Danio rerio: one gene and its partner. The protein of the gene in region 1 interacts with the protein of each later gene in a biochemical or structural test. Links are inferred from orthologs where the notes say so. Each region holds a gene or a part of one and is shown on either strand. Other genes may lie near its edges.

Region 1 (3,338 bases):
GAATTATTACCCATTTATTTTTTTTCCCCAATTTCTGTTTAACGGAGCAAATTTTTTCAACACATTTCTAATCATAATAGTGTTAATAACTCATCTCTAATAACTGATTTATTTTCTCTTTGTCATGATGACTGTAAATAATAGTACTCTAGATATTCTTCAAGACACTTCTATACAGCTTAAAGTGACATTTAAAGGCATCACTAGGGTAATTAGGCAAGTCATTGTATAATGATGATTTGTTCTGTAGACTATCCAAAACAAAATATCTTAAAGGGGCTAATAATATTGACCTTTAAATGGTGTTTAAAAACACAATAACTGCTTTTATTCTAGCCGAAATAAAACAAATCAGACTTTCTCCAGAAGAACAAATATTATCAGACACACTGTGAACATTTCCTGCATCTGTTTAACATCATTTGGGAAATATTTAAAAAAGAAAAAAAAAGTCAAAGGGGGCGAATAATTTTGACTTCAACTTAATATATATTTATTACACATTCTATCAGTCTATACCTATAGTTTTCAAAAACATTAATCTTCATAAACAGAATTTACTGCATGCAAAAAGGCAGATTTTCCCACAGAACACAACACACACAGTCCAGTAGGTGTGATACAGGTCGAACGTTTTATTCAACGTAAGGAAGGACTCCATCCTGCTAAATCCACAGCTTCCTAATCCTACATGTAACAATGGAAGACAAGCCTACATCCAGAACTGCACGTCACTCGTGCTCTTCCCGACACACACTTCTGTTTTCAGGAGCTCTGCACGGACGCAGCAGGTAGTATGCAGCGCTAAAACAACGACACACATGTGGATTACTCGCACACACACACCAGACGGAGACATGAGACGCACCCAAACGTGTGGAATCTATCATAAAGAGCTGCAGGCTCTCTTTCTGAAGATCAGGAATGTCAATCTAGTGTTTTCTGACGTAAACTTCCACAAAGAAATGAGCATCTGTAAAGTATGAACACTGAAATAAATAACGCAGAGTGTGTTGAAGACAAAACATCTTATAAACCGGGGAGCGCTCTTCTCTAATAGTGTTTCTCTCTGGGAAAGTGAGCCGCTGCTAATGCATACATGTCTCCAGGTATACCGTGTGTGTTCCTGCTCAGGAGAAATAAGGTGTGTGAGGGTGTGGGGATAGAAAATAAAGTGTGTAATATTAAATGAAGTCAGGATCGGAGCAATCCACAGCTTCTTATGCCTCAAACTCCAGACCCAAACCCATCTTGTGGCCTCCGGCGTTAATGTTCTTGCCATCCAGAAGAGCAGAAAGGGTCAGCTTAATACCTGAAAGCAGAAGAGAGACGTTGGGGAATTAATCCAGCAGGTATTATACTGCAGATATCATATTAGACCTGAAAAAACACAGTGCTGTAGGGGAATTGATCAACTGAATTGCCCGTGGTGTATGAGTGTGTGCATGAGAGAGTATCCCAGTACTGGGTTGCAGCTGGAAGGGCATCCGCTGTGTGAAATATGTTCTGGATAAGTTGGTGGTTCATTCTGCTGTGGCGACCCCTGATGAATAAAGGGACTAAGCTGATTTCCAGCCTAGAAAGTGACCAGCTAAAACCATCAAAACCAGCTTGACCATCCTGGTTTAAGCTGGACATAGCTGGTTTTGGCTGGGCTCCAAGCCTGGCTAGGCTGGTCAAGCTGGTTTTAGCTGGTCATCTCCCAGCTTGTCCAGCTAAAACCAGGCTGGAAATGGCTGGAAACCAGCCTGGAAGTGGCCAAAACCCCTCTAAAACCAGGCTGGTTGACCAGCTAAAACCAGTCAACCATCCTAGGCTGGTTTAAGCTGGATTTTTCAGCAGAGCCCTGTTTAATAATATCTACACACACTTACCAGGCTTCAGAGTTTGAGTGTATCCCAGCCCGACAAGGCTCGAGTTATTCACTTTGGCCTGTAAGACAGACAAAAACAGTGATGTTGAATACAAATATAGTAGATTCCCTTCAATCATGACTTTCCCCAGAGCGTTCAGTGATGAAGCAATATCTAGAGCTGCGGCCTGAAACCACATCATGTAATAACTCGGGGATGTTGAGGTGGTCTGGCAGTGGTATACGTCCTGGGGGGGGTCATCGGTCCAGATTTTGTGGTGACTCAAAATTTGTAGCTGTATTTGCAAAATATGCATCTCTAAAGACTTAGTCCAGGGGTCAGCAATCCTGGTCCTGCAGGGTTTAGCTCCATCTTGACTCAACACACCTGCATGGATGTTTCAAGTATACCCAGTAAAGCTGCTGTCACACTGGGCTTTTCCTCCCATAGACTTCCATTCATACGCACGCAAATGCGTCAGACAGGAAACGCAGGGTCATTTGTCAAGTTTCACAGGTTGCTGCGGTGCAAAGTTCCAGCTTGGTGAACTCTGAGAAATCTCATCACTAGACTGAGACAAATCGAGGATCAAAACATGCAGCAATCGCTCGCTTTTAGTTTTAAAAATGTCTAATAAGCTTGTTTAATCACGGCGCTTTTTGCAGCGCTGCATGACAGAATTTCGCATACTCAAACTCTAATGTGACCGCAGCGTAAGAGCTTGATTAGCTTGTTCAGGTGTGTTTGATTAGGGTTAAAGCTCAAATCTGCAGGACTCCGGCCCTCCAGGAACAGGTTTGGTGAGTAATGACTTCTGTACTGGTCTAACACACTATTATGGAAATATCTCTCCTTTGCAGTTGCTCTACAAATCTGACAGCTTTAAAATAAAATAAGAATAAAAAATAAAATAAAAATGCTGTTATATACATAAACTTCACCTTATTTATTTTTGTGTTATTTATTTATTTCAAAATGCATTGTGATTCTCTCTTGAATGGAGTTTAAGCTCAGTTTTTAACCAGCAGATGGTGCTGTGTGGTGCAGGTGTGGCATAAAAGCCTAGGTGCATTTGGCCACTTACAGTGCAGTACTCAGCCAAACACACACCTCACTCTTATTCATGAGCATTTCAGTGTGCTGATAAATAAATAAATAAATAAATGCAGCACAATATATTGTCTATTGCACTCCTTCATGCTGAGCACTCCATGTATGCATGAATATGGAAATAAATAATAATGGTAGAATAAAAAATACAAATGGTGATAAAAATAGATTTCTTGATTTGACTCTTGATATTATGCTATTAATATAATATTATGATGGTTGATTAGACAAACTAATAAAAGCTGACAGTATCTACAGTAACTTTGATGATGATGATGATCACGCACCGAGAAGGCCGCGTCGCTGTCGATTTGGTATTTGGCTGCAATGCCGAAGCGAGTGTTGCTGTTCCCGGCGGTCCAGGCCAGATTCACC
Region 2 (3,927 bases), on another chromosome or scaffold:
GGTAAAAGTGAAGGCCTTGCCTGATGTTAGTAACGGGAAGAGCTGAATACACCACGTGGTGTCGCTGTCAGTGAAACGCGTTTGGGGGTAACAAAGGTTACCATAGTAATTCTGCCACTCTTTGTTTAACGAGCGCGAGCCATTTGCGGTTAATAACATTAACATTCATAACGCCTGTCAAGTGTTCGGAACAAAACATTAGTGAACAGATAAGGAAATCTGAAGAGGGGGATTTATATCAGTGACAGATAACGTGTAAAAGTTGCGAAGTTAAATTTAGATTTCAGAATTACGCTCAATGGACGTTTTAAATTATATATACTAAATTTGTTGCTTTTCAAATGATACAAAGCTTTAGCTAACGGACTTTGGAGTGAGTAAAATCCAACTCCAGTAAAACTCCAGCACAGGCAGAGCTCATCTGATCTGCTGCAATAATAAATGAAACTGCTCCTGGGTTTTAAAGAGCAGCTCTGAGTCTGAAGGGGCGGAACTGAGTGAGCGCTGCGCCGCTGAATGCTCGCTGCACCGAATGCGCTGCTGACAGCGGCTCCGCACAGACCGAGGACGAACACCCACATCGATCATGCGGGACATCATGAATTTGCCCTCTCAAATATCTGAGTAAGTACAAATGGTCTACGATAGGGGTGTGGGTCTTTACAGCCGCTTACAAGCGATTTGGTGTTACCACGGTGAGCCAGTCCATCTTCCATGACGCTAGCAGCTACACGGCTAGCTAGCCGAGGGAGGAAAGATTGACGTAGTTGACTTGGATTTTTACAGGAAACGCATTCCTGGCCAAGTAAGAGCCATAAATTATATAGGGCTTGTTATTAATTTGCTCTCTTGCTCGTGGTTTTCGTGACTGTAATGTGTGCAGAAATGCATCATATTCGTTCGTGAATTAAACATAACGTTACATGGGCTGTTCAATTTTACTCACACGCGTGAATCATTTATGCTAAACTGATTCAGGAGAATAATCTAGAATAATCCGCATCCAGCCTTTCTCCTTAACGTTAGCAGGCCGACGTTTGGGAAGCTCTTCCCAGCTGCTTATGATTTTTGTTTGGATATTTGGCTAATAATTGGACCCTTTTAATGAGCGTTTTCTCGTGCTCGGTTGACTCTGCGCGAGCTCCTCTCTGAAAGTGATCAGTATTGCTCTTACTTCCCAGACAGAACTGACTGGTTGTTTCCGCACGGCCTCTGTGTTATGGGCCTATAATGGAGCCTTATTACGTAATGGCTGATCACGTCACGCATGTAGGTGATCATATATCCTATCACAGAGAGGGGAGGTCTGCCTTAAACAGAAATATCTAGCACTTACTCGCTTTTTTCCAAACATACAGTATTACTTTTGATCTGCCACGCTTTCTGTTTAATTTCCTCGCTTAATCTGTAACTATCCTAAATTTCGAGGGCTTGTTTGCTTGGTTGACTAATCTACGGGAAGAGTAAGCAGATTGTGTTATGGTAAGCTCAGTGCTCTTTTGCTCTCTGTGTTGTCATTATCGTAAACGTTGTCAATAAGCGCGATAACTTAAGATAAAGTAGACAAATGTTAACGCAAGACTTGTGTGTTGGTTAATTTCTAACAAATTGCTCGATAATATCTTTGCTTCAGTCTCGTGTCAGCTTTAAATGTTGTTATTTGAGATCACTAACATAAGACAGCGCGGAATAGCTCTGTGTGTTTATGTGTTTGGGAGGTATGGCATCCATACACTCTCTCGTGGCCGCGCATGTGCTGCTGCTGTATACAGGAATGTGTTTGTGCTGTGTGAGTTGACCTGGTGTTTGTAAACACACCGCGTGTCGCCTTTATTAGAATAATTATTCACTCATCGATCAATCCAGCGACATCAATACGTGCTTCCACTTCAGTAAATATACATAACATTACACGTGTTCAATAAAAGGCGGTGTTTCTTATTTAATGATGAAATTTTGCGTCACATTTCGGACTAAGAGTGAGTCATTTCTTAGTAAGTGTAATAAAAAATGCTATGAAATGTGTGTTTTTTGTCATTTTCACGCCACACACAGAGCTGCGTTGAGATGGCCATGTGTTGTGCTCTGAGCTTCGTTGTTGTCAGCACGTGTTTTTGGCTGATCCAGTGTTTCCTGAGAACTCTCGCGCTCTTCCCACGAGCTATCAGATAATGCAGCGCGTGAACATCCCATGCACTCAAATAGACGAATTCAGCACAAACTTAGCCTTTAATCCGTTTCTTCTTTAATGTAGATATTTCGAAAATCTCTACACATGAACGATCATTTTATCTGGATGTCAGTCATTGTGTCTCTGTCTGTCTGTCTGTCTAGCTGCCCATTGAATTAGGGAGTTGTCTCGAAAAAAATGAATCCTTTTGATTGGAGTTTATAATTAGAAAATAGTGCTGTGTAAATTTGATCTATAATCAATAACTCCAAACTGTTCTATATGTTTAAGAGAGATTAGTGATACAGATACACTGAGCAAACATTGTAAAAAGCACCCCTAATGAAAAACACCTTGGGGAATCTTTTGTCTGTGACTCTTGGCTAGTTCTTCTGGCACTACAAAGAAGGTCCGTTATGGATTTGTTCGAATGAGGGAATCATAATTCCAGCCACGTTGGCCATTTGTGCCCCCCTGCTGTTTAAAATTCACTCATGTCAAGGTCAGTGTACATTTAGCCTTGTCTTGGACAAGGGGAGAGGGGAAATTGTCCATGTTTTTCATAGGAGGCAGGTGATGAGAGGCTACCATCTGTTCCTTTGATCAAGCTCTTCATTAAGTAAGAGGGTTTTAGGTGGTGAAAAAAGCTGTTTATCTTCAGTGCCCCTTAACCTCTTCCAAAGTTTCACCCTGACCCCCCTCCTCTGCCTGTTTGTGAAGATGATTGCGTATTTATGGATCAATTCATTGCACTGTTGTCTTACCACAGGGTATGAGCCATTGCACCATCCCTGAGCGTCGGCAGAAGCCTGAGCAGGACGCAAGGGTGTGCACTGTGTTCTGAGAAACAGCTAGTGGATATCTAGACATCGGAGAACGAGCAACAACCTGAATTATGTCTTACTATAACCGAGAACTGGTGGTATTTTTTATCAAATATAAACTCTCGCAGAGGAACTACCCCTGCAACCACATTGGACTTACAGAAGACACAAATCGGACTGATGGGGCTGAAGAGAATGGCGAGGGGGCAGCAGGAGCGACAACTCTTGTTAATGGCACCATGAATAGAACGAACGCTAGTTCCACTGGGACCCCACCACAATCCCCTGCTTCATCCCCCCAGCGTCAAACAAATGGGTCTGGGGGTCTAGACGCAGTGAAGGAGGCGCTCCGTGATTCTGCCAACGAGTTTGAGCTGCGCTATTCCAGAGCATTCAACGATCTTTCCTCACAGCTCCACATCACACCCGCCACAGCGTACCAGAGCTTCGAGAGCGTGATGGATGAGGTGTTTCGCGACGGCGTCAACTGGGGCCGAATCGTGGGGTTGTTCGCATTCGGAGGGGCTCTGTGCGTCGAGTGTGTGGAGAAGGAGATGAGTCCGCTTGTGGGACGCATCGCAGAATGGATGACCGTCTACCTAGACAACCATATTCAACCCTGGATCCAAAGCCAAGGAGGATGGGTGAGTTAAAATTTACTTGTTTTTTAACCTACCTTATTCTTCTTCAGTCAGCATTTATGTATGTTCAATGTGTCAGATTGTCCTGTTTAATATAAAGACTTTTCAAAGATTAAAAAAACAAACAAACTATATGGGCAACCTTGAAGTAAAAAGTTTTGTTACAAGGCACGTCTACCCCTTAAAAAATAAGGTTTTCACCCTCATTTTGTCACAAACCAATAAGACTTTGGGTGAACCCGAAGGTATTTTATTCTCTAATAAATCTAAATTAATCAACCAGTAGAATCGT

The links.
Region 2: the proteins of vdac1 (region 1) and bcl2l1 form a complex in vitro, tested with the Homo sapiens proteins (4 studies listed by BioGRID). The link is inferred for Danio rerio from reciprocal best matches to the Homo sapiens genes VDAC1 and BCL2L1.

The regions. Positions count from the first base shown.
Region 1 is NC_133196.1:49,351,466-49,354,803, forward strand, and holds the end of vdac1 (non-selective voltage-gated ion channel VDAC1), read right to left. Parts: coding exon 3,251-3,338; intron 1,933-3,250; coding exon 1,875-1,932; intron 1,313-1,874; coding exon 1,221-1,312; 3' UTR 612-1,220; downstream 1-611. UniProt on the Homo sapiens protein: Non-selective voltage-gated ion channel that mediates the transport of anions and cations through the mitochondrion outer membrane and plasma membrane.
Region 2 is NC_133198.1:21,882,065-21,885,991, reverse strand, and holds the start of bcl2l1 (bcl-2-like protein 1), read left to right. Parts: upstream 1-1,380; 5' UTR 1,381-1,482; intron 1,483-2,939; 5' UTR 2,940-3,065; coding exon 3,066-3,638; intron 3,639-3,927. UniProt on the Homo sapiens protein: Potent inhibitor of cell death. Inhibits activation of caspases. Appears to regulate cell death by blocking the voltage-dependent anion channel (VDAC) by binding to it and preventing the release of the caspase activator, CYC1, from the mitochondrial membrane.